Callithrix jacchus: one gene and its partners. The main gene of each other region encodes a partner of the protein of the gene in region 2 in a complex. Links are inferred from orthologs where the notes say so. Each region holds a gene or a part of one and is shown on either strand. Other genes may lie near its edges.

The links.
Region 1: SNRNP200 (region 2) and RBMX2 share a complex: the UniProt entries of both Homo sapiens proteins name them as parts of the minor spliceosome. The link is inferred for Callithrix jacchus from reciprocal best matches to the Homo sapiens genes SNRNP200 and RBMX2.
Region 3: SNRNP200 (region 2) and SCNM1 share a complex: the UniProt entries of both Homo sapiens proteins name them as parts of the minor spliceosome. The link is inferred for Callithrix jacchus from reciprocal best matches to the Homo sapiens genes SNRNP200 and SCNM1.
Region 4: SNRNP200 (region 2) and GPKOW share a complex: the UniProt entries of both Homo sapiens proteins name them as parts of the minor spliceosome. The link is inferred for Callithrix jacchus from reciprocal best matches to the Homo sapiens genes SNRNP200 and GPKOW.
Region 5: SNRNP200 (region 2) and PRPF31 share a complex: the UniProt entries of both Homo sapiens proteins name them as parts of the U4/U6-U5 tri-snRNP complex. The link is inferred for Callithrix jacchus from reciprocal best matches to the Homo sapiens genes SNRNP200 and PRPF31.
Region 6: SNRNP200 (region 2) and CWC15 share a complex: the UniProt entries of both Homo sapiens proteins name them as parts of the minor spliceosome. The link is inferred for Callithrix jacchus from reciprocal best matches to the Homo sapiens genes SNRNP200 and CWC15.
Region 7: the proteins of SNRNP200 (region 2) and TSSC4 are in contact, whole or in part, in a cryo-EM structure (PDB 7PX3), measured with the Homo sapiens proteins. The link is inferred for Callithrix jacchus from reciprocal best matches to the Homo sapiens genes SNRNP200 and TSSC4. Residues at the interface, in NP_054733.2 of Homo sapiens: Arg1438, Arg1475, His1502, Lys1748, Gln1749, Val1752, Asp1753, Thr1756, Trp1757, Tyr1761, Arg1762, His1778, Leu1781, Ser1782, Asp1783, Leu1785, Ser1786, Glu1787, Val1789, Glu1790, Gln1791, Glu1807, Met1808, Asn1814, Met1817, Ile1818, Tyr1821, Tyr1822, Asp1928, Ser1931; in NP_001284587.1 of Homo sapiens: Val198, Ser199, Ser200, Phe201, Asn202, Gln203, Asp204, Pro205, Gly211, Arg212, Val213, Ile214, Phe215, Thr216, Lys217, Pro218, Arg220, Gly253, Pro254, Val255, Glu256, Leu257, Ala258, His259, Leu260, Ala261, Gly262, Gly303, Phe304, His305.

The regions. Positions count from the first base shown.
Region 1 is NC_133524.1:126,051,228-126,055,182, reverse strand, and holds part of RBMX2 (RNA-binding motif protein, X-linked 2), read right to left. Parts: intron 1,496-3,955; coding exon 1,366-1,495; intron 125-1,365; coding exon 1-124. UniProt on the Homo sapiens protein: Involved in pre-mRNA splicing as component of the activated spliceosome. As a component of the minor spliceosome, involved in the splicing of U12-type introns in pre-mRNAs.
Region 2 is NC_133515.1:6,131,728-6,135,682, forward strand, and holds part of SNRNP200 (U5 small nuclear ribonucleoprotein 200 kDa helicase), read right to left. Parts: intron 3,880-3,955; coding exon 3,682-3,879; intron 3,264-3,681; coding exon 3,111-3,263; intron 3,001-3,110; coding exon 2,920-3,000; intron 2,633-2,919; coding exon 2,549-2,632; intron 1,863-2,548; coding exon 1,756-1,862; intron 1,432-1,755; coding exon 1,313-1,431; intron 986-1,312; coding exon 831-985; intron 704-830; coding exon 514-703; intron 306-513; coding exon 132-305; intron 1-131. UniProt on the Homo sapiens protein: Catalyzes the ATP-dependent unwinding of U4/U6 RNA duplices, an essential step in the assembly of a catalytically active spliceosome. Plays a role in pre-mRNA splicing as a core component of precatalytic, catalytic and postcatalytic spliceosomal complexes.
Region 3 is NC_133519.1:11,058,766-11,063,253, reverse strand, and holds the start of SCNM1 (sodium channel modifier 1), read right to left. Parts: upstream 3,012-4,488; 5' UTR 2,950-3,011; coding exon 2,899-2,949; intron 2,633-2,898; coding exon 2,562-2,632; intron 1,707-2,561; coding exon 1,618-1,706; intron 1,518-1,617; coding exon 1,420-1,517; intron 1,315-1,419; coding exon 1,226-1,314; intron 1-1,225. Other genes in the region: LYSMD1 (lysM and putative peptidoglycan-binding domain-containing protein 1), read left to right, coding at 3,824-4,003. UniProt on the Homo sapiens protein: As a component of the minor spliceosome, involved in the splicing of U12-type introns in pre-mRNAs. Plays a role in the regulation of primary cilia length and Hedgehog signaling.
Region 4 is NC_133524.1:49,662,820-49,666,358, forward strand, and holds the end of GPKOW (G-patch domain and KOW motifs-containing protein), read right to left. Parts: coding exon 3,538-3,539; intron 3,332-3,537; coding exon 3,208-3,331; intron 3,113-3,207; coding exon 3,043-3,112; intron 1,561-3,042; coding exon 1,475-1,560; intron 1,378-1,474; coding exon 1,243-1,377; 3' UTR 555-1,242; downstream 1-554. UniProt on the Homo sapiens protein: RNA-binding protein involved in pre-mRNA splicing. As a component of the minor spliceosome, involved in the splicing of U12-type introns in pre-mRNAs.
Region 5 is NC_133523.1:47,297,570-47,301,524, reverse strand, and holds part of PRPF31 (U4/U6 small nuclear ribonucleoprotein Prp31), read right to left. Parts: intron 3,856-3,955; 5' UTR 3,848-3,855; coding exon 3,671-3,847; intron 3,558-3,670; coding exon 3,497-3,557; intron 588-3,496; coding exon 504-587; intron 44-503; coding exon 1-43. UniProt on the Homo sapiens protein: Involved in pre-mRNA splicing as component of the spliceosome. Required for the assembly of the U4/U5/U6 tri-snRNP complex, one of the building blocks of the spliceosome.
Region 6 is NC_133511.1:45,351,447-45,356,009, forward strand, and holds the start of CWC15 (spliceosome-associated protein CWC15 homolog), read left to right. Parts: upstream 1-1,390; 5' UTR 1,391-1,498; intron 1,499-2,763; 5' UTR 2,764-2,771; coding exon 2,772-2,902; intron 2,903-3,754; coding exon 3,755-3,867; intron 3,868-4,171; coding exon 4,172-4,260; intron 4,261-4,563. UniProt on the Homo sapiens protein: Involved in pre-mRNA splicing as component of the spliceosome. Component of the PRP19-CDC5L complex that forms an integral part of the spliceosome and is required for activating pre-mRNA splicing.
Region 7 is NC_133511.1:129,467,872-129,472,626, forward strand, and holds TSSC4 (U5 small nuclear ribonucleoprotein TSSC4), read right to left. Parts: upstream 2,885-4,755; 5' UTR 2,700-2,884; exon of another isoform or gene 1,694-2,699; 5' UTR 1,560-1,693; exon of another isoform or gene 1,409-1,559; 5' UTR 1,386-1,408; coding exon 372-1,385; 3' UTR 173-371; downstream 1-172. UniProt on the Homo sapiens protein: Protein associated with the U5 snRNP, during its maturation and its post-splicing recycling and which is required for spliceosomal tri-snRNP complex assembly in the nucleus.

The DNA of each region.
Region 1 (3,955 bases), on a different chromosome or scaffold from region 2:
GTGAGGGGGTGCGAGCCCCACAGCCCTTCTCCTGGAGCTCTCTGGTCACATCATCCATTTCTTCTGAGTCCTTAGGAGCCCGATAGTTAGACACATGATCCACTCGGATAGTTCTTCCTTTGATCTAAGCAAGACGGGAAATGCTTCAGTGAAGACGGCCCTCATAACACAGTGTCAGACTATCTGAACACAAGCTACAGAAAACCATGATTTGAACTATGTCCACTTCCTTCTTGCCAAATTTTGTCACTAAAGCAGACCTGTCCAACTGGTGTGTCATAGCATGTACACCTAAATATTAATACACTCAGCTCTCAGGGCAGCCAGGTGAGGCCTGGGCAATTGTACCAGCAGCCTCATCACTTTACCCCAGGGCATCATATAAATATCTTCCTGTTCTACATGGTCCACAAAATGAAAAAGACTAGGAAACACTACTACCTCAAAGCACAAGCATCAGGGAAGACTGTGAGATTTAGATGCACAATTAACTACCCTTGATCTGTAACATAAGTTTACAGTGAAACATGCCCTAGGAAGGTCTGGCAACTAGAAGGAATTCTTGATATCTAGCTTAATGCTACAACTGCTTTCCCGACACAGTCATTAGGAGGCAAAGCCAGACCAACAGTTTGGCGAGAGGAAGGAATAGAGAAAAGGAAACTTTCTTTTTTCTTAAGCCCTCACACCTTGCTCTAGCCACACCACACTGGAACAGTAGGCTCACACTGATTATTGCGCTATGAATCACAACTCTACAGGTGAACAACAATAAAAAATTAACCCCTCTGATCAGGTTCAGTGGCACTTTGGGAGGCCGAGGAGGGTGGATCACTTGAGGTCAGGAGTTCAAGACCAGCCTGCCCAAATTGGTGAAGCCCTGTCTCTACTAAAAACACAAAAAATTAGCTGGGCATGGTGGTGCGTGCCTGTAATCTCAGCTACTCCAGAGGCTGAGGCAGGAGAATTGCCTGAACCCAGGAGGCGGAGGTTGTGGTGAGCCGAGATCGCGCCATTGCACTCCAGCCTGGGTAACAAGAGAGAAACTTCGTCTCAAAAAAAAAAAAAAAAAAGAAAAAGAAAGGTAAAAAACAGAGGCCTGGAGGGGAGGCAGGCCTGGTACCTATGCTCCTGGGGAGACAATTTGTTAACAGATGGGAAAAAGAAGCAAGTCCTGCAGGGCCACAAGTCAACAGAATTATTTCCTGGAATCTCTTTTTGACCAGTGTCTCCACACCTCTGCAGCCCCTGCAACACACCAAGCTGACGAGTGCTGCCCCGGTGTCCATGGCAACCAGGTAGAAAACGAAACCCCTATACAAGGGGAAAAAATGTCCAACCAACCTGCTTAGTAAGTACACTCACCTTGATCCCATTAAAATTGTCAACGGCCAGAATTGTGCTCCTCTGGTCTTCATAGCAGAGAAAACAAAATCCTTTGGACTTCCCAGTCTTCTTGTCCCGCACGAGATTAATGTTAACAATCTCCCCATATCTATTTATTTTATAAAAGAGTAAGACACTATTGACTTAAAAGGCAAAAACATGCAGATAAGGTAATAAAACAAAATTCAAATAATACAGTATGTACAAGAGATACATCTAGAACGAGATGATACAGAAAGGTCATGACAAAGAAAAAGTCAGACAAGAACAGGAGTACCCAATTAAAAAACAGGCACTAATATCAAGAGCAAAGGCTAATTCAAGGCCACAATAAAAAATGAAACTAAGAAGATTATTTTACACTGAAAAAGGCCTAAATACAAAACAAAGGTATAAGTCAGGAAAACTTTAGGTCAATTAAGAAATCAAAATTTTTAATTAAAAAAGCTATCAGAAATGCAAAGAAAAACTAATAGCAAAAGTTATGGAAGAATTTAACAAATCACTTTGAAGTTTATCATGCACAAAGTGGACAGAAATAAGATCAGATTAATTAATATACATAATTACTATAACAATTATACAAACAAATATTAATGTAATTAGATACATAGATATCTTTGAATCCTACAAGATGACAGTTTCAAGAATTCATGAAGATTGTACTAAAATAGACTATGGATTAGGTCTCAATGTAAACCTCAATAATTATACTCCAAAAAACAGACAGACCTAAAGCTGGAAATGATATTTTAAATAAAAAACACCTTACCTAACTAGAACTTGAAAGCTACTCTCTTAATAACTGGATGAAAGAGAAGATGAAGCAAAATATTTTTTTTAAAATGGCAGACTATTTAGAAAATAGCAAAAATGAGAAGAATATATACCAAAACTTATGAAATGTACCTAACATCATAGGAAAATTTGTAACTTTAAAATAATTTTATTGTGAACAAAAAGGATGAATATAAAGGAAGAAAGCAACCCTAATGAAAGCAGATGGGAGCTAATAAAGATAAAGGCAGAAATTTGGCTAGGCATGGTGGCTCATGCCTGTAATCCCAGAACTTTGGGAGACCAAGATGGGAGGATTGTTTGAGGCCAGCAATTTGAGACCAGCCTGAGCAACAGAACAAGACCCTGTCTCTAAAAAAAAAAAAAAACCAAATAGATAAAAAGGCAGAATTAAATAGAAAAAAAAAAGGCCAGGCATGGTGGCTCACACCTATAATATGTAATACCAGCACTTTGGGAGGCAGGAGTATTGTTTGAGGCCAGTAGTTCAAGACAGACTGGGCAACAGAACAAGATCCTATTTCCAAAAAAAACAAGCAAACAAAAAAAGATCAGGCATAGTGGCTCACACATGTAATACCAGCACTTAGGGAGGCCAAGGCCAGAGGATCACTTGATGCCAGGAGTTTGAGACAAGCTGGACAATACAGCAAGACCCCTGTTTCTACAAAATAATAAGTTTTTTAATTAGCCAGGCATGGTAGTGTTCACTTGTAGTCCCAGCCACTCAGGAGGGTGAATGGGGAGAATCACTTGAGCCCAGGAGTTCAAGGCTGCAGTGAGCTAGGATCATGCCACTACACTGTGACCTGAGCGAGAGAGTGGGACTCTGTCTCAAAAAAGAAAAAACATTAGGAATAAAAGACTACCTTACTCCTTGCAGCAAGATAAATTCCAGATAAGTTAGAGGTTTATAAATTTAAAAATAAAGTCATAAAAATAAAACGGGAATTGACAGGTATGTTACATAATCACATACATACACTTCAGCCCAAAATCTAGCAATCTACTTAATGAGAAATACTAGAGCTGATTCAAGTAAGTTTAGAAACTATTTAATACTAAAATGAAGGTATAGGCCAATGCAATTAGGTAAAACAGATATAAGAAATGAAAAAAAGGAAGTAAAATTATCCTTTTGTAGATTACATATGATAGTATACATGGAAAACCCAGAGAATCCATGATAAACAATGATTAAAAACAGAGCGTAACAATTCAGTAAAGCAACAAGATATAAAGTTAAAAATCAATCACTCTGTTATACAGAAACAATAATCAGAAGAAATGATAAAAGGGAAATCGTATTTATCATAGCAAAAAAAGACAAAGTACTTAGAAATATACTTATCAACAAAAAATGTACAAAGCCCATATAAAGAAAACTATTTTAAAATTCCCAAAAGTCACAAACATAGATTTGAACAAATATGAAGGTATCCCTTGTTCTTGGACAGGATGACTCACTATCATAAGGTATCAAAATCTTCTCCCGAGTTAATGTAAATTTAATATAATTCCAATAACAATACCAGTTTGGTTTCTTTCCTGAAAGCTGAATAAGTTAATTCTAAAATTCTTATGGAAAAAAGAACATGTAAAAATAGCTGGGAAAACTCTTAATGAGAACAATGAGGGGGAGTAACTCTTATCAGATATCAGACAGACTGAAATTACTAGTGTGGTATTGGAAAATTAATAGACCAATAGAATAAAAGCTAAGAAAGAGACTCAAGTATACATGAAAACAAATAGTATATGATAAGGGTGA
Region 2 (3,955 bases):
CCCCAGTGGTCACACTGAGTTGCCTGCAGCCCTACCAAGTGCCTGAGGATCCCCACTCCCCTGCGTGCCACAGAACACATCTGTCTCCCAATGACTTCAAAAGCCTCCAGAGGAGGGATGGAAATACTCACCCTGGGTCTGGATGGGATTGAAGAAAGGAAATTTATCTTGGTAAAGACTCTCAAAGGCACTGTTTCTCAGAGCAGATACAGGCAAGGGCTGCAGGTCCAAAAGTTCAGTTGGAGGTGGGTACTTCTCTGGCAGGATCAAGTGCCGGAAAGAGACAGGCAGCTGCGTCTCACAAGCTGCCAGAAAAGAAACAGGAAGGATGTAAGCACTGTTCTCTTTACCTAAGTGGCCTCTAGATCCCCTCCATGAACACTGGCAACCTAGGCAGCGTATGTATCACTCTGTCCCCGGCAAAGGCAATCCCAGAAGACCAGGACAAATTGCAAGACATTCCACTGTTCTTGGAGGGACTGTTCCTGGGGACTCTGGAGAGGAGACACTCACAGAGCCAGCGGTCAGACACCACTCGGATGAAGTACTGAGGGGGCAGCGGTTCAAACACAGGCACGAAGAACGTGATGAGGTGCTCGTCCTGGGCATACTTGGCCTTGAGGAGAAAATATTCATGGTGCAGAATCACCTCGCTGTCCACATCCTCCACCAGAATCCAGAAAGCCTCTGATGATCCATGCACCTGCCAACAGGAGCACAGGTAAAAGGAATGTGAGACAACATAGACCGAGCACCTCCAGTCCAGCTCCTCTGCCACCAACATAGACTTGGTGCCTCCAATTCAGCTCCTCTGCCTTGCAAAGCCTCACCTTTTCATCCCACTGGAAGTCTGGCGTGATGGTCAGCTCTACCTTCAGGGTGGAGCGTGTGATTGGCTGCAGGTGAACCGACAACTCCAACTTGGGAAAAAGATGGACATATTTGTGGATGGTCTTCCCCATCTTCGGCATGCGGATAAGCTCCCCTATGGGGAAATAAGAGTACTGAGGCTGCAGCCCAGCCTGCCTACTATACTGCACACTGGGCCTGAGGGGACACTGTGGGAAAGGGATAGTCTTCCCTTTACTGTCAGTGGAGTGCAGGATTCCAAGTCCCCAGTCCAAGGGCCAGCCTGTACTTCAGTGGAACTTGAGAACTGAACACAGGATACTAATGCAGAAGGCCTAGGAACTCAAAGACTACAAACTGAACAAAGGATACTAATGCAGAAGGCCTAGAAACTGGAAGACTACGTAGGCCGACTGGGAAAGACCCCAGGCAGTGAGGACAAGGGCGAGAGCTTCCCACACACCGATCTCATTATGATTCAGGTCGTATAGACGCTCAAAGGGGAAATTCTTCTTCTCAATCTTCTTCACTACTTCCTCAGGGAGTTTCCGGAACTGGCGCAGAGGACACATGGACTGCCACCTATCCAGGAAAGAGGCAAAGCTGTTGGTCCCTTCTGCAGGGATGCAACAAACTGCCCACATCATGGCTCCAATAGTTCAGCAGTGACCACACAAGACAGTCATTAAAGGTGGACGTTGACACCGTGCCAGCCCTGGCCTCCACCTTTCTCATACTCCCCAGCCCTACCACAGAGGGCCTTACTTCTTCTCAATGTGCACCCAGGTTCAGGTCATATTTCAGATGTCAGGTCTGGAAATCAGATGCACCCTGAGGCTTTCCCAAAACACCCTTGGGTTGGGGACTCACTCATGGTGACCAACATCCAGCTCACTGGGCCCTTACATGCGTTTGTCGATCATCTTGCAGAGGTTCAGGGTCTTGTCTGTAAGCTGTGCCCAACCTCGGTTCAGGACAATTTCAAAGATTGCTCGCATTAACCGGCCAGCCGACTAGGAAAAGAAACAGCATTCCCACTGCTAAGTCTTGACTATCCCCAGGCCTCATTAGCCACTCTACACATGGTTTCATTACTCCAGCTCTGATGCAATGACCCACCCCAACTTGAAGGCAAATCCCCTCTGTTTTTACACCTTTCTCCCTTCCATATAGTAGATGCTTACCAAATGGGGAACAATTAGAAAAGTGCTGCTCAAGGTCACTGCACCACATTTTAACCTAACATTCACTGCATGATTTTAGAGCTTTTGACTCATTTAGCATTTAGAGTTCTACGAAGAGTTAAGGGTTACCAGTAACCTGTTCTTAGAGGTAAAGATGAAGAGCAGCTAATAAAACCCTGTGCCATTTCTGGAATTTATGAGTTCTGCAGCCACAATGGGAAATCACTTCTCTGTTGAGAAGGAGACACTGTGTCCCGTGGCTCTTCCTGTCTCTCTGAGGGCCTGTGGAGTCTCAAAGCATTCCCTCTTAAGGCCTTACCTTTCTCATGTGCTCAAGATGGGTACTACAGAGTGGCTGTACCACACATGCACCAACCAACCAACTACCAAGAACAGAACTAAGCATTCCTCCCATCTCACTAGGGTCAGGCCTCCTTTCCCCAGGATGCATACAGCACACAGGGATTGAACTGTTCAGGCCCCTTCTCACAGCTCCCATACAACTCTGCCCTCACCTGTGTGACATATACCATGTCGGCCATCAGTGCAAAGCCCTCCAATTTCAGCTGCGAGATGAAGGCTTGTAGAAGAACATTGATCTGGAAAGAAGCAAAATCATCCAGCAGGAGACCAATCACTGAACAGTACAAGAAAGGGAAGTACATTTCTGCTCTGAGCATTCATGCCAGGTGAGATCTTCTATAGCTCTTGACTTACAAATACTAAATAATTGTTATTTCATATAAAAAGAACATGTAAGAAAGCTGCAAAAACTAGGAGAACTGAGGAGGGTATCACACATGAACTCAAATTCGAGGTTCATCTTTTAGAAGATTATGAAAACTATATAATCTTCATCCTGATCAAAGCAAAAAGAGGAGCTCACCTTTGCGCTGGGTTCCTCGATGCTCTCCTTTACCGGGATAGGCACCCTCTCTAGCAACTTCTGCAGCTCTAGCTTCTCCTCCTGCCACAAGGAGGAAAACGTCAAGGGAAAGTCCAGAGGCCGAGGAGGGAAACCATTCAGTGACTTGGTGAGCACCAACTCCCCGCCCCCAACACGCTGCATAGGCTCACCTCTCTCACAGTGATGTTTTTGAACTCAGAGGACAATGAGAAGACTCTGAAAAGCTCAATCTCACTGAGGGTGGGCTTCAGCAGCTGGTTGTAGGTCTGCACTGTATCATTGGTGATGTAGTAGTGGCTGGCTATACGGCCCAGTTCTGTCACCTGGAGAGAAGGTAGACTCAATCCAGTACTGACTATTAATGAGCTCCAACCTCTAACTGTGGACCATAAGTTATTGTCCTATAGGTTTTTTGTGCAGTTTTTTTGTAAAGTATGTAACTCAATGTCCTGTAAGTTATTGACCTTACAGGACAATTAGATGAATTCACAGCAGTACAAATGCCAGGCCCAGGCACATGAAAAAAAATGGCACAATAAGCTGACCCATAGTGTCTGCACAGACAAGACAGCTAAATTATCCACCCCAAGTTATGGGGAAAGCTACCCATTTTTCCGCTGTTCTAGGCAACAAGCGATTAGATAGGCAGTACTCACTTCTATCTAAGAGCAATCTGACATATTTTCTCCTGGGTTGACTTTTGCCGAGACCTTTGCCTCAAAACCCTCACCCACCACACACCTGGAAGTTGCCTGTCTTCTTGTCATACTTGACCAGATTGTTCTTGTCCAGCATCAGAGCAGCCGTGTGAACCAAATCTAGTCGGCGCTGGTCCAGTAGGGGATCTCCCTTGAGGTCATCATGAGAGATGCCATAGAGGGTTGGGGATCGCAGCATTCGGATATACAGGTAGGCATAGCCTAGCCAGTTCACTGCATCCTACAAGACACAGTTCATGGTTCTTAGCATGGAGAAACTCTTGATGTCCAAATGAAAGGCTTCCATTAATTGCTTA
Region 3 (4,488 bases), on a different chromosome or scaffold from region 2:
GTGAGCCAAGACTATGCCACTGCACTCCAGAGTGAGACTCCATCTCAAAAAAAAAAACAAAAACACATCCTCCCTCCCTCTCCCCCTTTCTTTCTTTCTTTCTTTCTTTCTTTCTTTCTTTCTTTCTCTCTTCTCTTCTCCTCTCTCTCTCTCTCTCTCTCTCTTTTTTTTCTTTCGAGTGTTACTCTGTCACGCAGGCTGGAGTGCAGTGGCATGATCTCAGCTCACTGCAACCTCCAACTCCTGGGTTCAAGCAATTCTCCTCTCTCACCCTCCCGACAGGTTCAGGCAATTCTCCTGTCTCACCCTCCTGAGTAGTTGGGACTACAGGTGCCCACCACCATGCCTGGCTAATTTTCTGTATTTTTAGTAGAGACAGGGTTTCATCATGTTAGCCAGGATGGTCTCGATCTCCTGACCTTGTGATCTACCCGCCTCAGCCTCCCAAAGTGCTGGGATTACAGGCAAGAGCCACCACACCCAGCCCCCACCATTTTTTTTTTTAAGACGGAGTCTCACTCTGTCACCCAGGCTGGAGTGAAGTGGCATGATCTCGGCTCACTGCAACCTCTGCCTCCCAGGTTCAAGCGATTCTCCTGTCTCAGCCTCCCGAGTAGCTGGGGATTACAGGCACACGTCACACACCCAGCTAATTTTTTATATTTTTGGTAGAGATGGGGTTTCACCATGTTGGCCAGTCTGGTCTTGAACTCCTGACCTCAAGTGATCCACCTGCCTCGGCCTCCCAAAGTGCTGGGATAACAGGCATGAGCCACTGTGCCTGGCCAAAATTCTCCTTTTCTTGAAACACTAAGTAACATCTCCGGAATACCAGTGTTCCTTAGAATACACATTGGAGAACTTTTTTTTTTGAGACGGAGTTTAGCTCTTGTTACCCAGGCTGGAGTGCAATGGCGCGATCTCGGCTCACCGCAACCTCCGCCTCCTGGGTTCAGGCAATTCTCCTGCCTCAGCCTCCTGAGTAGCTGGGATTACAGGCACACGCCACCATGCCCAGCTAACTTTTTGTATTTTTAGTAGAGACCGGGTTTCACCATGTTGACCATGATGGTCTCGATCTCTTGACCTCATGATCCACCCGCCTCGGCCTCCCAAAGTGCTGGGATTACAGGCTTGAGCCACGCGCCTGGCCTCACATTGGAGAACTTTTAGAGCCATCTTTCTCCTTCTGAGCCTTCCGACCTCTGGCTTTCCCCTCCCATACCTGTACTTCCGGCGGCAGCAACTGTTATAGTCGGGGGCTCTGTGCAGAGCACTCTGGGTGATAAGTCGTGTCTGGGTTAGCAGAGGAGCCTGATAAGGAGATGGGAGACAGAGTCAGAGGCTTCAGCCCTCTTCCCTTCCAGCCTGGTGTGTGCAGCAGGGTCTTGACTAGAATACACTCTCCATTCTGATTACCTCAGCTTTGGTTTCTTCCCTTCTCAATTCATTCTGATGTCTTGGATTCTGCTTCCTCTCCTTTCCTGGCTGCTTCTTGCCATAGAAAAGCTGCAAGCCTGAGGAGAAAGGGAAACAAGACTAAAAGCATAGCACCAAGAGCGGTGTGCAGAAATTTCGAGGGTTTATTCCCCATACCCTGTCTTTCCCCAAACTTACTGGATAGATGTTTCTTGCCTGCTCGGTGGGCAGTCAGCATAGCCAGGGTGTCCAGTACTGGTCGATGGGGGCAGATGGCACAAGCAAAACTGAGCAGGGGGAGAGAAGAGGATAATTGGTCCAGGGGAAGAGGGTGGGGCCAGTCCCTACAGTAAGTCCCACCCTGTCCTAGCAGTCCTTTCCAAAGCCCAACTCCAGGTCATCCAATCCCCACTTCTTCCGATCCTCACTTCCGGCCAAGGAATCCTAGATACTCCTGCTGTCCTGATTAATAACAAAAGTTTGGGGCCGGGCGCCGTGGCTCATGCTTATAATCCCAGCCCTTTGGGAGGCCGAGGCGGGTGGATCACGAGGTCAAGAGTTCGAGACCATCCTGGTCAACATGGTGAAACCCCGTCTCTACTAAAAATACAAAAAAATTAGCTGGGCATGGTGGCACGTGCCTGTAATCCCAGCTACTCAGGAGGCTGAGGCAGGAGAATTGGCTGAACCCAGGAGGCGGAGGTTGCGGTGAGCCGAGATTGCGCCATTGCACTCCAGCCTGGGTAACAAGAGCGAAACTCCGTCTCAAAAGAAAAAAAAAATTAGCTGGGCATGATGGTGCGTGCCTGTAGTCCCAGCTACTCGGGAGGCTGAGGCAGGAGAATTGCTTGAACCCAGAAGGCGGAGGTTGCGGTGAGCCGAGTTCGTGCCATTGCACTCCAGTCTGGGTAACAACAGCGAAACTCCGTCTCAATCAATCAATCAATCAATCAATAAAGTTTGTTGAAGCCGGGCATGGTCGCGCCCGCCTGTAATCCCAGCTACTCGCGACGCTGAGGAAGCAAGATCACTTGAGCCCTAGAGTTTGAGGACAGCCTGGGCAACACAGAGAGACCTCTATCTTTTGTTTGTTGAGCCTCTAACCATAGAACCCTCAGGCTTGGGCCACTCCTCGCTCTTACCGTCCATCCCGAAGCATCAGCGCCTCATCCTCTGGGATGTAACTGGCTAGCAGATCCCCGACTCTTCTTTTCTGCAGGGAGAAGGGGAAAAAATCCGGACGGCATCAGCAGATAGGAGAAACGGATGGAAGTGAAATGAGAGAAATGAGGAGTCAAATGGAATAAGGACCCTGGGGAGAATAGTGATCATAGACCGAAAAAGGTGTCACTACCCAGCTCTAAGTCGCCTCTTTCTCTCCCGCACCCCCGAGCTGTTGCCAGTGCAACAAAACAAAGCTCCTTCCCAACCTTCAGAGAGCGACTGAAGCTGCCCTGGATCCTCTCTGCTCACGCTTACTTTGAGAACATTGAGTTGACTCCAATCGTCTCCTTCCCTCTTGAAAGACATCACGACTGTGAGTCCCAGAAATGATAAATTCTCTTGTTCCGGTTTCTCAACTCCTCCAGGCCACCGTAGCAAGAGTGGGACAACTCTTTCTCTGTTTTCAGTCTCTTCCTGTCGGCCTCCGTACTTCCGGGGATGCGCTTCCACACAGGCTTTGCGCGTCCGGAAATCTACTCGCTGGTGCACGGAGGGAACTGCATTTCCTATGGTGCCCTGCGACACTGCAGACGCCGAGCCTTTTGGGAAATGAAGTCTTTTCTCAAAGAGCTTGCCGCTCTGCTGGATCCAGGCCCTCGCATCCTGGCGGATCTGCGGCATTTGGAGGGACAAGAAGCTAGATGTGGAGCCGAAATGTGAGGGTGTGACCTCTCTGATGAGTGGAAGGTGTACTACAGACTCTCGCAATCTTCGCGCTCTTCATCTGCGGCGACAGTTCACCTGGGGTGGGCTGATTTGTTTCTGACCCTAGCGGACGAACCCCGGGACCGGGCAGACCCGGGATGCGAGAGCCCCCAGAGGCCAGGCTACCGGACTTGGGGGCAAACTGAGGAAAGACTGTTGAGGATTATTTCTAGAGGTCAAAGGTCAGAGGTCAATGTAGCGAGGAGTTGTGGGGGGTTCACAGTCGGTGGGGTGCTTAGGGGAGAGATTCAGGGAGGGACTGAATACTCAAGGGACAGATTTGTGGATAACAAGCTTGGAGAGAGGAGAAACCGGGAGGGGGCAGGTGGCGTAGTGCCGGGGAGGCGGGGACACAGGGGAAGAGAGAAGGGGAAAGGAATCCCTTGAATATCCATTCCCAGACTTAAGGCCTGTCACCCTTAGTCTCGGCCGGGCCTTCCCCAGTTGCAACCCTACCTGTCGTTAGGGTGAAGAGATGGCTTCCCCGTCTAGACAGCCCCCCCCAGGGGGGTCAGGACTTCTTCAAGGGAGCCGGGCTCGTTCATATGGAAGCCTCGTGCAATCGGCCTGCTCCCCAGTGAGGGAGAGACGCCTGGAGCATCACTTGGAGCCTGGAGACACCCTGGCTGGACTAGCACTCAAATATGGGGTGACGGTGAGTTTTCCAGGATTGGGGTGCAGACAACAGTCAGGAGGGATTTAGTCCTGAGAAGAATGTAGTGGCCTTTCTAGGTAAACTCCTCTGAAAAGTTCCTAAAGTGTTACACCTGTTCTGCCTTTATCTTTGTTTTCCCATCACAGTGTTGCACTGCCGGGTTGGGACAAGTCCTGTCCTACTATTCCAATGGAGAGGAACAGCTCCAATTTTACTATGCCAGACACTGTGCTGGGGGCTTCACATACATTAGCTCATGTCACCCTCACACCCTATCAAGTACATTTATTGTTTCCTTTTGGCAGATGAAGAAACTGAGACTTGGATTGGTTAACCAGTTTGACTAAGGTCAAATAATGAGTGTCAGATTTGGGATTCAAACAGGTCTATCTGACGCTATTAACCACACAGAAACATTTTCTTTTCATTTCTTTTTTTTTTTTGAGGCGGAGTTTCGCTCTGTTGTCCAGGCTGGAGTGCAATGG
Region 4 (3,539 bases), on a different chromosome or scaffold from region 2:
AGTTACTGGCATGTGCCACTGTGCCTAAGCTCATAGTTTTTATATCCCAAGAGTGAGCTCATAATCAAATGAGTCCTTTAACTTGTCCTGTACCCTGGGCAGGAAAGCAAGGCTGAAAAATGAAATGGTTCCCACCTCAGTCAACTCAGTTCCCACCTTAACTCGCAGCTCATGATACCACTTATGATTACATCTTTCTTTTTTTTCTGAGATGGAGTTTCGCTCTTGTTACCCAGGCTGGAGTGCAATGGCGCGATCTCGGCTCACCACAACCTCCACCTCCTGGGTTCAGGCAATTCTTGTGCCTCAGCCTGATGAGTAGCTGGGATTACAGGCAAGTGCCACCATGCCCGGCTAATTTTTGTATTTTGAGGAGAGACGGGGTTTCACCACGTTGACCAGGATGGTCTTGATCTGTCCACCTCGTGATCCACCCGTCTCGGCCTCCCAAAGTGCTGGGATTACAGGCTTGAGCCACCGCACCCGGCCTATGATTACATCTTTTTTTTTTGTTTTGTTTTTTAAACTCTCATGTAATGTTTATTTCACAAACATGAACTTGGAAGATTTTATAAGACAGCATCCCAGTCATTTACATGAAAATAGAAAAACCAGCTTGAGTTTAAGATAACAAATCTTTCTGTAAAACTAGCAAATCTTTCACCCAGACTTTAGTTTTAAAATTTGCCCTCTGAGCAGTGCTAGAGACATCTTTTTTTCTTTTTGAGACGGAGTTTCACTCTTGTTACCCAGGCTGGAGGGCAATGGCGCGATCTCAGCTCACCGCAACCTCCGCCTCCTGGGTTCAGGCAATTCTCCTGCCTTAGCCTCCTGAGTAGCTGGCATTACAGGCACGCGCCACCGTGCCCAGCTAATTTTTTGTATTTTTAGTAGAGATGGGGTTTCATCATGTTGACCGGGATGGTCTCGATTTCTTGACCTCGTGATCCACCCGCCTCGGCCTCCCAAAGTGCTGGGATTACAGGCGTGAGCCACCGTGCCTAGCCTGCTACATCTTTCTATTAAGTGTCCGAAATGGTTTTTATTATACCCTAAATTCTGGTAAATATTGGGTTTGTTTCTAGCTTCCCTACTGGTTCATCCATCCATGTCCCTTGTCCTTGTCCCAGAACTGCACTAGAAGTAGAGGATGGAACAATGATCTTCCCACCTTCTTGAAGGCAACTTCCTCATACTGTACAGAACTGGTAACAGCCTAGGGGATGGGAGGAGTCCCATGGGTCAGTCTTCATCTGTGTCACTAGGGCCCGTGTACTGGCAGACAGCATCGTAGTGAAGCTCCACCACCTGATTCTCTCTTGGCAGTTGCACCAAAGCCCGGCTCCGTGCTCTGTCCCGGCTCAGCAAATGTCCCACCTGGAACAGAGGTGAAGTGAAATCAGCAAGGCCAGCCTAGACCCTGCTACAGGCTGTGAATGACCCACAAACCTCCACTGCCAGGTTTGAGACTCACCCTTCCAGCCTGTGGGCCCAGCACCACCATCACACGGTCGCCCTCTGCCTTGGGAACCAGTGTCTCCAGCATGTCTTCCCTCAGGCCTACAGGTAAGGGAGAGGGGAGTGAGGCCCACAGCAAGGACCAGCCCAACCGGGGTCCTGTCAGAAGGGCCCTTCCTGGCCAGGTGTGGTGGCTCACACCTCTAGACCCAGCACTTTGGGAGGCTGAGGTGGGAGGATCTCTTGAGCCCAGGAGCTTGAGACCAATCTGGGCAAGATGGTCAGACCTTGTCTCTACAAAAAAAAAAAAAAAAAAAAATTTTTTTTTTGAGTCGGAGTTTTACTCTTGTTGCCCAGGCTAGAATGCAATGGCGCAATCTAGGCTCACTGCAACCTCCGCCTCCTGGGTTCAAATGATTCTCCTGCCTCAGCCTCCCAAGTACCTGGGATTACAGGTGCCTACTACCACACCCAGCTAATTTTGTATTTTTAGTAGAGACAGGGTTTTGAGCTGTTGGTCAGGCTGGTCTCAAATCCATGACCTCAGGTGATCCACCCACTTTGGCCTCCCAGCATGCTGGGATTACAGGCATGAGCCACTTCACCCAGCCTACAAAAAATTTTAAAATTAGCCAGGCATGGTAGTATATGCCTGAGTCCTAGCTACTCAGGAGGCTGAGGTGGGAGGATGGTTTGAAACCAGGAATTCGAGGTGGCAGTATCCATGATCGTGCCACTGCACTCCAGCCTAGGTGATAAAGCAAGACCCCATTTCAAAAAAAAAAAAAAGAAGGGCCTTTCCTGTATTCTCTGGAGCCACTCTATGCCCTGTTGACAGATAGAGTCCCACCACATCCATTTCACAGATGAGGAAGCCTAAGGAGTAGTTTATAAAAATCACTATAATAAAGGGAGGATGTCCATGTGGTGGTAGTGATAAGAACAGCCATCGTTTATTGCTGGCATGTTCTAAGCCCTGCCCTGCACTGAGAGCTCAATACACATCCCTTCACCAAGGTACCAATCACAAGAGGAAGAAAGTAATTTCCATGCTAATTTGATAGATGGAGGCCAGGCGCAGTGGCTTGTAATCCCAGCACTTTGGAGGCCAAGGCGGGAGGATCACTTGAGGTCAGGAATTCAAGACCAGCATGGTCAACATGGTGAAACCCCATCTCTACTAAAAATACAAACATTAGCCAGGTGTGGTGGCGCTTGCCTGTAGTCCCAGCTACTCAGGAGGCTGAGGCAGGATTATCGCTTGAAACCAGGAGGCAGAGGTTGCAGTGAGTCAAGATCATGCCACTGCACTCCAGCCTGGGCAACAGAGCAAGACTGTGCCTCAAAAAAAAAAAAAAAGAAAGAAAGAAAGAAAAAGAAAACTTGGCAGACCGGGAGTGTGGGGCTCAAGATAACTACCATAATGGAAGTGTCCAATGTTCTGTAAGAGGATGCTAGGCCTTGCAAAATACCTGAACTCTGCCCAACCTCCCAGCTTTGCCTGGGCCAGGCTCTGGGCCTAAGACACTCTTCTTGATCAACCTCCAGGATGATCATGCTCCAGCTGCAATCACTCAAACTCACCTTCCAGGACTCGGCCTTCATCTGTCTGACATACACAGGTATCTGGGCTTAGGACATCTTCAATTATCATCTGGGGATACAGGTCAGGGGGATGTGAGATTTTTAGAGAGCTAAGGGGGCCCAGTCCCTGGGGGAGGGAGGGGACTCAGGCTGTAGGGTTCCCACCTTGGTGTTATAATACTGGCCGCCTTTGTACATCTTGTCCACAAACCGCACCCGCAGGTCCCTGTGCAGCCAGTGCCGACTCCTGGGGGCTGCTTTCTCAATCTTGGCTGTAAGCCCATTCTGTCTGTGGAGAAGGTGGCAGCACCAGGCTTAGCTCTTCATCAGATGCACTTTCCAGTCTCCCTCCCTTTGTCTATGCTATGAAACCCACCCACAATGCGGTTCCCAGTTCCTTCTATGAGCCTGCCCTGCCTTGAAAGCCTTTCCTGGCTGCTCAAGCCTACTCACAGCCCTTCCCTCTTGCCCCCTCCCACATGCTCAGAGTCCCACCG
Region 5 (3,955 bases), on a different chromosome or scaffold from region 2:
AATCTCTTCGAGTACTTATCCCGGATGAACTTATGGATGATGTCTAGGGTGGACAGGACAGGCGGTCTTGGGTAAGACAGGAGGTAGAGTCTGCTGGTTGCCCTAACACCCATTTCCCCTTCTTCCTTTACGTATGACCACGGGAATTTGTTCTGCTCTGTAAGATGTGAGCTGAGCTGTGGTGACACGTTCTTAAGAATAAGAAGCGCCTTGCTGGTGGAAATGCAGAGGTGATGGCTGGAGGTGGGACAGCCACCTTGCACCGTGAACCAGTGGCTGAACAACAAGATGGAAAGAGCTGGGGCCACACCACCCCCAAGTGCTCGCTCAGACTCACACATAAGAGGAGAACAAACTTCCTTCTTCTTCAAACCACTGTTACAGCAGGTGGACCTGGATTTGAGCATGGGCTCAGGGGCAGGACCCTGGGAAAGGCCAGTGGGGAAGGGAGATGGGCATGAGGGTGTCACACGGAGCTGCGTCCGCCTCCCCCCAGCACTCACTCAGCTCGTTTTCGATCTCCACGGTCAGGTTGTTGGCATCCACAATGACGCGGTATTCAGGGGCTGCCTCCACTGGCCCCATCACTGTGAGGACACAGAGCGGAGTGTGAGGATCTAAATCCCTACCCTATCCTGGGTCCCAAAGCTGGGGGAGATGGAGGACAAGGTTTCGAGGGGGTCAGGAAGGGGGGGGCTGAAGAGTAAACCGGGGGACAGGCTGATGTCTGCAGAGTCCCTGATCTTGTGTCCCTGCCTCCCATCTCTCTCCCTCCAGACCAGTCTAGACTTGACCCCTCTACCCTGGAATTGAACCTCCTATGGCTTCCCACAGCCCTAAGGCTCATGACACTCATGACCAAGCTTCCCAGACTGATAGTCATGGTGTCCCCAACACCGGAAGTTCTGCAGGGACCAGTGCTGTGCCTGCATGGTCTACACCCACACCCGAGTACCCAGAAGAGCACCTGGCATACAGGGAGCTGTCCAGTTCCTGTCTGCTGACTCAGCAACTCTGCGGTCTAGCTTCTACACTTCCCACCCCTCCCTCTCATCATACCCCATTGTATTCCACTCCAGCCACAAAGGACTGATTGCAGTGCCCTGGACACCCACTCCTCCTGGCCTTTTTTTTTTTCTCGGAGTTTCGCTCTTGTTGCCCAGGCTACAGAGCACCATCTCGGCTCACTGCAACTTCCGCCTCCCAGGTTCAAGCAATTCTGCCTGGGCCTCCTCAGTAGGTGGAATTACAGGCATGTGCCACCATGCCCAGCTAAATTTTTTGGGGTATTTTTAGTAGAGATGGGGTTTCACCATGTTGGCCAGGTTGGTCTCGAACTCCCAACCTCAGGTGATCCGCCCGCCTGGGCCCCCCACAGTGGTGGGGTTACAGGGGTGACCCACTGCATCTGGCCCCTCCTGGCCTCTGCATATGCTGTTCCGTCTCCCCACGTCTGTTTCCAGAAAACCCTTTGTGCTTTGGTTATAAGGGGCCAGGCACAGTGGCTCACACCTGTAATCCCAGCACTTTGGGAGGCGCAGGCTGGAGAACTGCTTGAGCCCAGGTGTTTCAGAGCAAACTGGGCGACACAGGGGATCCCATCTCTACAGATAATTAAAGAAAAAAAATGAGCCAGGCATGGTGGTGTATGCCTGTGGTCCTAGCTATCTGGGAGGCTGAGGCAGGAACGCCGGAACCCAGAACCCAGAAGGTCAGGGCTGCAGTGAGCTGCGTTCATGCCACTGCATTCTCACCTAGTGTCAGAGTGAGACCCTGTCTCAAAAAACAAACAAAAAGTGATGCTGTGTTTAAATGTCATACACTCACTGCCTGATGTCACAGAGCTCAAATCTGACCCCAGGCAGGGTGGCTGCAGAGTCTGTGCTCCTAACCCTGATGCTCAAATGGCTCTTGTGGTGCTTAAGACTCAGGCAGCGACTCAGAACCGTTCCCTCCCTTTCCGGAAGGATCAGATGCCTTCTCTGGGTACCTGCAGCACTTGTGCCTCCAATAAACAGGAACTGCCACCTGCTTGTGAGATGTTTCATGACTACCTCTCCAACCAGACACCGTGTATGACGGGATCTGACTCATCCCTGCTCCTGGCCTGACATCAGGAAATGTCACCTTCTGTGTCCCATAACTCTCTGGATGGAGAAGTTCCCCGGCCTGGCATCTGGAACCCTGCAGGATCTGGCACATTCCTGAGCCCGCCCTCTCACTCCTAGTATCTGAGGCCCTGGGCGTGCCGCTTTCTTTCCCGGCCCCCTTTTCTTTCCCAGGCCCCTTCCTCCCTTTCTTCCCCTGGCGTATGCATTCATGCTCTAGAGTCCAGTTCAGCCATCAATTCTTCCCTGACCCCTGGGGCAGGGTCAGCCAGTCCCTCCTGTGGCTCCAGTGGCCCCAGCTTGGTATCACCCACTGACAGCTGTCTGGAACTTGGCCTGCCTCTTCCACCAGACCTTGAGCACATTAGAGCACAGACCTGGGGGTTTCCACTGGGTGCCCAGGTAAACATTAAAGACAGCAGGCAGTGGGTCTCCTGAAACTCGGCTTTCTCACACACGTCTTTGCCCAGCAACCTCCCATGGCTTCCTGTTGTCAGGAAATTTCATTCAAGATGAATGGGAAGGCCAGGAGCAGTGGCTCATGCCTGTAATCCTGGCACTTTGGGAGGCCGAGGTGGGCTGGTCACTTGAGGTCAGAGGTTCAAGACCAGCCTGACCAACATGGTGAAACACCCCGTCTCTACTAAAAAAAATACAAAATAGCCAGACATGGTGTTGCATGCCTGTAATCCCAGCTACTCGGGAGGCGGAGGCAGGAGAATCGCTTGAACCTGGGAGGTGGAGGTTGCAATGAGCCAAGATCATACCACTGCACTCCAGCCTGGGCGAGAGAGTGAGACTCTGTCGAAAGGAAAAAATAAAAAAGAGAGAGAATGGGAGTGGTAACAGAACTGCCCTCTAAGACAGTCTGACTACTCAAGAGATAAGCCAGTGTTCCCGAAATGTGGAAGTGAGAAAAGCTTTTAGATGATGCTCTAATAATCACGTATTTATTTTCACATGGTGACTTCGTCTTTACCAAGTGATGCCAGTTTCCCATTCATGGCAGCAGTTTGCTTCCTTTGTAGATCAAATTTAAGAAAAAAGACCTAGACTCAAAGAATATGTTAAGCAATTAAAGGACAAGTGGCTTCTAGATGTGGCCAAAACCCTGTAACTGGTCATGTGAATCTGGGAGTCTGGGAAAACTCAAGCTAAGTCCCATCGTGATTAGCAAACTCAGGACACAGTGAGGACTTAAGAAGATGCGCTGTACGAAGCAATTTATGTTTACTGGAAAAGGGAATGGGTTGGGGAGGAATAAAAAAAAAGAGAAGGCTCTGGAAAACTCTGAGAGGGAGATATACCCAGCCACAAGCAGCAAAGGAGCCAAGGGGCCTGGCAGAAGAGTCAGGAGATGGGGAGGGGCACGAAGGGGGAGGAAGTACCTTCGGAAGCTTTGGCTTGCTTGCTGATATACTCCTCAATCTTCATCATGATCTCAGCAAACTGCAGGGAAGGAGGAGAGTCGGAATCCAGGACTCTTCAAAAAGAAGCCTGTATCGCCTCTTTCTGGGAGATTGTTTAGAGCCCCCTGCTATCCATGCCTCTTGTCCTCTTACCATCTTACTGTCCCATAGCTTGGCGATGGTCTTGACCGAATCCCCGGAAAGATCCAGCTGTGTCTCCTCCTGCACATCCTCGATCGCTGGCTCCTCTTCCTCCTCCCCATAGCTTCCTCCTTCCTCCTCTTCTGCTGCCTCTTCGAGATCAGCTAAGAGCTCATCTGCTAGAGACATCCCGAGGCCTGTGGAGAGGGAGAGTAGGGTTCCCTAAACACTTGCCCCAACAAGTCCCTCCTTATCACTGAGGAAATTCTCCCCCAGAAGGCCCTGGCCTTCTTTCCC
Region 6 (4,563 bases), on a different chromosome or scaffold from region 2:
TTTTTATTCTAAGTGCAGTGGAATTTTATACGGATAGTAACACCATCTGATTATTTTTAAAAGATCACTCTCTAGGCTATATGCAGCATTGACTGTAGGATAAAACGTGGCCCAGGAAGATACATTAGAAAAAATTACAATCCATGTAGGAGATGGTGTTGGCAAGAACAAGGGTAGTGGCAGTAGAATAGAATTTGTTAAGTTTTTAAAGTAGAGTTGTTAAGACCTGTAAATGAACTGTATGTGAAGAGTGAAGGTAAAAAAATTTAAATAGGCACTCTGGGATTTTGGTTTGAGTAACTAATATGATGACCTTTACTGAGATGTTTAACACTGGAGGAGGGATATCTTTGGTAAGAAAAATCAAGATTTTCATCTTGAACTTTACGAGTGAAAAGGCTTTTTCTGCTTTTTTTTTTTCCCCTTCATTTAAAAGTTGCAAAGAATTTAGGGATAAGAAAGCATTTAAATTTTCAATTTTGTGAGCTCCTTACATTTTAAACTAAGTTGGGGACGTTGAATTTCCATTTAACAAGTATTTATTGAGTAACTACTATACGTCAAGGTCTACGTGATGATATACCAAGATGAACTAAGCATTCAAGACCTCTGTTCTCAGATTGACTTATTTTTTTATGGAAGGGAGGTGAGACGATTGGTGGGTTTTTTGGTTTTTGGGTTTTCTCCTTTTCGTTGTCTTATTAAAACTTAACACTTGAGTAGCCATCTTAATAACTACACTGTGCTTCTGGCAGTTGGGCCCACCGTTCTAAACGCTGTCGTAAATACTGACATCTCCCCTCCCACAAGAACTAACGTTTTTTAAATAAAAAAATTTTAGCAAACATTACGCATACAACCTTTGCTTTGAAGTGTAATATTTTTGCAGGAATGGTACCTTTATAAAGATCGTGGTTGCCCCGTACTTATTTGTTCTTTCTTCATATCCAATTAAATGAAAACACTAGTTTTTCCGAAGCCCAACTCTCTAGGCTTGTTGGTTCTAGCTCAGGATGGAAGCAGGAGTCGTTGGATTTAAACAGTTTGGTGTAATCCTTTTCCACGCTCTAACCCGCTAGCCGGGGACGTGGTGTCGGCTACCCGGGGCTTTCCGTCCACGCAGTACCGGAATGGAGTCTGGGAGGGGGTCGGGGACGGAAAAGACGGAAGAGACATTAAGTAATTGGTTCTTGAAGGTATAAAATGATGTTTAGGGTCTACTCTAAGGCACTGATTTCAAACGCCCGCCCCCTGGGCCGTTTAGGCCCCGCCCCTTATTGCCCTTACGCCAACTTCCACTTTGGCCTCTGCGGATTGGTTGTTATCTCCGCCTCAGAAGCGCTTGGGTTTTGCTTCCGGGTCATAGGCCTAGCCCTGAACGCAGAGGTTCCTGGGAGCCAAGCGTAGTAATGGCGTCTGTATGATATTCGGAGCCTGCTGCATCGGACCTCGGCCAATGTGAGTGACAGGAGGATAACAGATTATCTTCTTTATCCCGGTAGGACGGGAAAGGGCAGTTGGGATTGGAGTTGGTGGCAGAGTGCTGAGCGCGGGCGGCGGAGGCCCTGAAGCAGCTCGCTAGGGGCGGAACCGAGTGCCTGTCAGGCGCGTCCGGAGCTCTAGGCCTGCGGTTAAGATCGCAGCGTAAAGGCAGCTCGCCTACCGCTTAAAGCGAGCCTCAGGTCCACCCTTCACTACTCCTCGCATCCCTGTAGTGCTAGGCACGGGTGAAGAGGTAGCGAGTTTCTGGTTATAGCCAAAGACTAGCTCTCCGGAGGCCAGAGTGATAATTCTGTTGGCGTGTGGGAAGGCGCGGTGCCCCCAGAGCCAGATAATCCTGTTTCTTCTTTGAAGACATGCCTCTACCCTTTTCGGAAATCAAGAGAAATAGACCCCTGCCAAAAAAAAAAAAAACGAAAAAACAAATCCTCCCAATTCACCCACCCTCCCACACACTTTTCCGACACTTACAGCGTCTTAGTAACTAAATCTGTTAGACAGTATTCTTGTGATTGCGCCAAGCAGAAAATAAAGAATGTGTCCCTGGTTTTTGGTATTAGAATCCTCTGGGGCGAGGTTCTTGTTTTTTTGAACAGTCCTTAAATTATAACCCACAAGAGATCTGAGTTATAATATGATGCCTGTTGTAGAAGAAAATTGGATCAACAAAAGGTTGTTTAAGAATTTTTTTTCTATGTAACTGTCATTGAAGTTTAACACTTTTGCCTAGGGCACTTAATAACTTCGTCAGTGATTTTTTAAAAATTGTTTTTGGCTTTTGTTTCTGTTAGTCTATTTGCTATTGTGTGAAATTTAGATAAAATACAAACCTTAGAGAGTTTGGTGGAGTAAGGTTGAGCTGAGAATTTTTAAAACTCAGTCATGGCAGTACGGTATTTTATAAGGGTTTTGACATGTCAAGTGTCGTAATTCTTACAATAATCCTAGGAGGAATATCTCCATTCCGCTGATGACAGAAAGTTAAGCTAGGTGACTTCGTGAAGCCCACAGAGTCAGAAGAATAGGGATGCAAACTCAGATCTTCGTGACAGAATTTTTTGTACTAAGACATGTCTGGGAATCCATATTCCTTGTACTGCCTAAGCCTCATAATTTTTTTTCTTGAAAACTTTTGTTTAAGAAGATTAAGCAAGTTTTGGGGAATGAGTTTTAGAACTTATATCACCAGGATGGATATTGATTAATACTCTAAAATGAGAGTTCGTAATGTTGGAAATAACTTGATACTATTTTTCTTCAAAGCATAAAAGATGACAACTGCAGCCAGGCCAACCTTTGAACCTGCAAGGGGTGGAAGAGGAAAAGGAGAAGGTGATTTGAGCCAACTTTCAAAGCAGTATTCAAGCAGAGACCTACCTTCTCATACAAAGATAAAATACAGGTAATAAGACTTTTTTGTTGTCGTTCGCAAAACAAGACCAAATCTGTTAAATGACATGGTCATGATATAGTAGTATGTTTGAGTTATGTTACTTATTTATTTTCATAGACATAGAGTGCAACAGGATGTTTAACACTAAAATTTTGCTCTATGATTTTAAAATGCAAAATTCCTACTAACCAGGAATTTTCATATGTAGATAGAGCAATAAATAATATAAATAATAATGCCTCAGAGAGACTATGCACAATCAGCACCAGTCAATATATTAAAAATGTTACTGTTCTGAGTTGATATAATACTAATTACAGATATTTTAATCTGTGTAAAGCCGGCTGGGCGCAGTGGCTCACGCCTGTAATCCCAGCACTTTGGGAGGCCGAGGCGGGTGGATCACGAGGTCAAGAGATCGAGACCATCCTGGTCAACATGGTGAAACCCCGTCTATACTAAAAATACAAAAAATTAGCTGGGCATGGTGGTGTGTGCCTGTAATCCCAGCTACTCAGGAGGCTGAGGCAGGAGAATTGCCTGAACCCAGGAGGTGGAGGTTGCGGTGAGCCGAGATCGCGCCATTGCACTCCAGCCTGGGTAACAAGAGCGAAACTCCATCTCAAAAAAAAAAGAAAATCTGTATAAAGCCTTATCATGGGAAAATACTGAATTTGGATTTCTCGAAATATTGGGAACATCACAGGAGTGGCTGTTAGTAACCCTCAGATTAGCTTATGGTCTTGTCTATTTCCCTTTTTTATGCTTGAAGGACAAAGTCTCATTCTTGAATTGTCTTCCATTACTACAGTTGTGTGTGTGTGTAAGTAACATTTTTGCCCTGGCTCGTTTTTACTTTAGACAAACTACTCAGGATGCCCCTGAAGAGGTTCGTAACCGTGACTTCAGGAGAGAGTTGGAAGAAAGAGAGAGAGCTGCTGCAAGAGAGAAAAATAGGGATCGTCCAACCCGAGGTACCAACACTATCCCAGACATTTGTCTCATAAAATTATCTTTTTGATAGTTTTTCTTTCATGTAGCAACTGGAAAATGTTAACCATTTGTTTGCTTTTACACTTGATGTGAGTTATAATATTTAAGTCATTAGAGATGATAATAACAAATATTTACCAAAAGCATATTTGCCAGGCACTGTGGATATGATTTCTGTTGTCATAAATGCTTTTAATGTGGGCTCTTTGTACCCACAGGTCCCTAAAACATTGTAAGAAATGCAGTATTTGTTTTACTAAGTTAAATGATTTTTGTTTCCCCCAGAACATACAACCTCCTCTTCAGTGTCAAAAAAGCCACGGTTAGACCAGATTCCTGCTGCCAATCTTGATGCAGATGACCCTCTAACAGATGTATGTTTTGTTTCCTCCTTTCATCTCTATCTAATAATTGATTTACCATGTTTTTCTAAAATACTTGTTGTGCTTTTGGCTTTAAGAAGTGACCTATATTTATGTTTACTTACTATTATTCAGATATAGCCCCAACGTCAGTGCTAAACTGTATAGTTGATATTAAAACAAAAAGTATTATTTTGTGGTAAGGACCTTAAGATCAAGTTTGATCTCTAGAGAACCAAAAATGGAAGGAACTTATTAAAGGATATGCTTTCCCCCAAAATAATGCCCTGTACTAAACTACTGCACTGCTGCTGG
Region 7 (4,755 bases), on a different chromosome or scaffold from region 2:
CCTGGAGGAGACCTGGGGTTTCCACTTCTTGCTGCCACCTGGGTGATCTGCTGGTGAGGGATGCAGGTGCCAGCCACCCTCGAGTGGCCTGGCGGTGAGGCTGGAAGCAGCCAAGCGGGACCCCTCGTAGCCGACAGGGGTGAGCAGGGCCCAGATATACACGAAGCCTGAGGAAGTCCCAAAACCTTTATTGTCCCCACCAGGTAGCCAATGCTTCCAGCCCACCCCAGGAGCCTCAGCCAGGTCTGTTGGGAGGATGACACCCAGGGCCACCGGTGCCACCTACAGGCAGCATGCAGGCTCCCTCCCACTCTAGCTGCCCCTTGGCCAGACCTCCTGGGAAGGCAGCAGGACGGCAGTGGCCAGTGTGGTCAGGCGGCCCCGTCTCCCTCTGAGACCTCAGCGCCTGGGCCCTTGGAGCTGCTGCCCTTGTTCCGGAAGTGGTCTCGACTCCGCTTCCTGCTACTGTGGAAGCCAACCGTCTCCACCAGTGGGAGGCCTGGCATAGGCCCACCGTGGACAGGCCCTGTCGGTGCCTCCACCTCCTGCAGGCCCCCGTGGGGGCTGCCCCACTCCTCAGCCTCTGGGCTACCGGGCCTGGCCAGATGGGCCAGCTCCACTGGGCCCTCGCCCCTATCTGGGGCACGGATCCCAAGGCTGCCCCTGCCTGGCTCTCCCACTTTACCCAGAACCCTCTTCCTCTCGTGTCTGGCCTCAACCCCTCGGGCTGGTTTGGTGAAGACGACCCTCCCTTCCCCACAGCTGGAGGGGTCCTGGTTGAAGGAGGGCACGCAGTCAGTAGGGGCAGCCACGCTCTGGGAGCCCAGGAAGGCCAGGGCGGTGGCCTGATTGCTCTGCTCGCTGACCTCGGTCACATCTTCCAGGCTGTACTTGGTCCAGCGCTCGGGGTGTGCCACGTAGTCGGGGACTGGAGGCGCCTTGGGGGAGGCTGGGCTCCAATGGGCCCTGCCCAGCCCTTCCACTGGAGGCTGGCCTGAGGGTGCCAGGGGCCGCTTGAAGCCTCCATTGTCACTTCTGCTGCTGTGGGCCACAGGGGGTGGGGCCCGCCTGGCTGCCCCCTCCAGGAAGTCAAAGATGTCACGGCTGCGCTGGGAGAAGGTGGAGCTCATGCCTCTCAAATGGAACGGCTGCACCGCAGATGGGAGGAGGAGGCCTGAGGGGGGTGAGGGCGGCTCATCGGGGCCTGAATCCTCCTCCCCAGGCAGCCCCCCTGGGGACAGCGCTTCTACTTCAGCATCGCCAGGCAAGCTGAGGTCAGAGTCCGAGTCACTGAGGGAGACCGTGTCGGAAGGCAGCGTGTCATACTCCGTCTCATGCTCCCCCTCCACGCTGGGGGACGGCTCCTCTGTCCCTGCCTCAGCCATGCGTTCCCAGGACCACGTCACACCTAGACCAAAACAGCCCAGGAGATTCGTTTCAGGAACAGTGTTAAGAATGAGTCTCCTGCAGATCAACCGCCCCTGGACAAGGAGGGTCAGCCGGCAGACCTGTCCCACACAGGGTGGAGGCCCCTCTCCCCCTCCCAGCCCTCCTCTCACCTCCCTTGGCTGCTGACACTGGAGTGTGGCTGCACAGCCAGGTGGGCGGAACCTTGATGAAGGTCCTCAGTGGCACAGGTATGGTTGTCTCAGGCCTCGGAGTGCCCCTGGCATGCGTCTGTTCAGCTGCTCGACTGCAGGTGGGAGGGGTGGGGGAGAGGACCATCCTCAGACCGGAGCGCAAATGTGTGAAAGAGGTGGGAGGCAGGACCGACCTGAGCCCGGGTTTTGGAGTCCCTGACAGGCCAGAACCCAGGGTAGGGACTTCTGAGTCGTGACTTAATTTAATCGCGTCAACCCTCTGCAGGCAGGCTTGGAACTACGAAGCGATTCTGGTAGTAAGCAGCCGCCCAGGGCTGGAACCCAGGGCCGAGATCAGGCAGGAGAGCTACTTATAAGCTGCTTGCTGTTGGGGGGTGAGCAAGAGCAGGCACCTTCCTGGTCATCGGGGAAAAGGTTTGCTCCTATCTGCTGGGAGAGCCCCGGGAGCTCCCAAGACATCTGCAGCCAAGGCCCTGGCATCGCACAAAGTGGGGTGTCAGCCCATCAATCACCTCGAGCAGCCCTCACAGGCAGAGGCAAAGCCGCGTAGCTCCTGGAGCGACCTCTAGTGGCCTTCCCCGTGTAACACTCAACACACACACCGCCTTTCCAGCGGGGCAGCCAAGCGGCCTCCCGCACCCATTTAGTGGTGGAGTGACTGGGTGCCTCGGAGCTGGCATTGCCAGTGGAGAGGACGGCCCGGCCTCACCCTTCTGCACTGCCCTCATCCATCCACTGACTCCTTGCCCGCCAGGGTGACATGTGTCCCGTGCTCCCAACAAGGATGGGGTCAGGGGTACCAGAAGGGGCTCCTAGTGCCCCCCACCAGGTCAAACAGAGGCAGCACTTCAATTCCTCTGCGGCGTGACTCTCCTCCGTGAAGAAGCCACCCCGTAAATGAAAGGGGCTACCCGGAACCCCCCACTGATGTCCGTTTTAGAGCCGGCAGGGACGGAGGCTGAAGGAAACCGTCCCTTTGCCCACATGAAGGCAGGGCCTGGCCTTTCTCCTCTCTATGCGCCAGCAAGACCTCCCCGCCAGGGAACAAACTCTCTGTGCCAAGTCGGCTCTCGGTGCGAAGTCGGGCTGGACACTCACGAGGATGCTGTGGGTCCCAAGGGCTCGGCCGCGGGGTACGGGGGTCGGTGAGCACAGCGGGGCTTCAGCTGCGCTCGGTGACCTCCCGGAGGCTCACCCGGCTCACGCGGCCCGTCGTTCCTCAACACAAACCTACCAGCTCAAGGCGGCACGGCCGTCTCCATCTTGGTCGGCTCCGCCCGCCCATGCAACGCGCTCAGCCCTCTGGGAAACCGAGTGTTCATCCGGCCGAGCGCCGCGGCTTCCACGCCCGCAAAACTACACCTCCCACAAGGCACTGGGCCGCCGCTCCCGACGCCTGTCGGGACGTGTAGTCTTGTGCGCATGCGTCCGCCTCTCTACTCCAGGACACCGCGGCCCTGGCGTCCGGCTCGGAAACAGCCCCGGAACCGCGGCATTTGTTGGCGAAACAAGACCGGAACTGACCAAGGAGAACAGGAAAAGGAGGGGCCACGCCTGCAATTCCCAGAATGCTCGAGGGCTAACCGACCGCCGCGCCGGCTTTCCGTGGTCCCAGCGCCACCTGCTGGAAACCGTGAGAACAGCGGCCGCCTCAGGCAGGAAGTGCGTCATTTCATAGGGAGGGCGAATGCCGTTCGGACACTTCCGGTCATGACCGGAAGCGGCAGCTGTAGCTCTTCCGGGGCTTCGGAGCACTGAGGCGGGGCTCCCCAGGATCCCACGGTCCCGCTCAGGGCGGACGCAAAGGCGGTCCCAGCCCGAGATGAGGACGCGGAGTCTTGACCTGTGGGCCACGGGTGAAGGGGGCGGCCCTGCTGGATCCTCTGGCTGGGCCGACGCTTTCCCACCCCTAGGGGTTGGCTGGGCCCTGGAGGCAAACTTGTGGGGCGTCGCCCTTGGGGACGCTGCCGGGCCGCCCGCGCAGCCCTGGGCCCTCAGCTCTGGCACATTGGTCCGGCCTCCGAGGGCGCTGCAGGGAAGCCAGGGCCAGGCCCTTCCAGGTCCCCGGTCCCCCGTCCTCCCGGGCGGGGTGGAGGCCGCTGAACGCTCCTCAAGCGTGGCTGGGTGGGCGGCAGCCGGAGCGGTGTGGCCTCCGCCATGCCTGGGAGCCGGCAGCCTGGCCTCGCCTGTCCACGGTGCCCGCCCTGAAAGGGAGAGCGAGGGCCCAGGTTCTCCCCCCGACAAGCCGCGTGTCCCTGGGCCACGGGCCCTGGTTGGTTGGCGCCCTGTGCCCCGCACACTGCGGGGAGCTGAGTTCCCCTCGGCGGCTACACCGCTGGGCCGTGTCAAGGCTGGAGACAACTCCCTTCCCAGGGCCTGCTGTCCTGGCATCCGCCGGGAAACAGGACTCAAGGACCTGCTGCGGCCTTTGGGATGTCATTCCCCGCCCACGGAGGACACAGCGGGAAGTGGAGAGGGGGCTCCTTGCACCGTCCTGTGCTCCCAAGCAGTGCAGCCTTGGAATTTGGGAGCAGCAGGAGAGGGCCTGCTGAGAGACTCCGTAACCCCCCAAAATGCAGGGCCGGGGGCAGTTTCCAAATTGGCTTGCAGAGAGGCTGCTGGGAGCCCTAGACATAAATTCCCAGTCACTCCTTTCCTCCAGGGGTCAATGTGCCAGCAGCTTCATCTCCCCAACTAGGGAAAAGCAGCCGGAGCGACAGCAAGCACCACCCCAGGGTCCACGGTGTGAGGGAAGATAGGAGAGCCTAGACCAAGCCCATTGGCTTGGAGGAGCTCGGACAGGGAAGGGGTGCGGGGCAGTGCAGGGGATGCTTGGCCCCAGAGCCTGTCCACCCACCCACTGCTCACTGGTGGGCTGGGTGGGCTCCCGAGGAGGCCGAGGTCTTTCTTCCCCTCCAGCACCTCTGAGATGTGCCTCAGGCCCTGAACCACCAGCTCCTCAAAGGAACACTTAACACAGGCCCTAGATGAGCAGGGCAAAGATCCTCAAATGCTCGGGAGGGGGCAGTGTGTCCATCCTTTACCGTCCCTGAGGACGAAGAGGAGTCCTGCAGCCCACCCAGCCCCTGCCCCGAGCCCATCTCCTAGGGCACTCTGGATGCCCGACCCCTCCTGCCCACCCGCTGGCACTGTG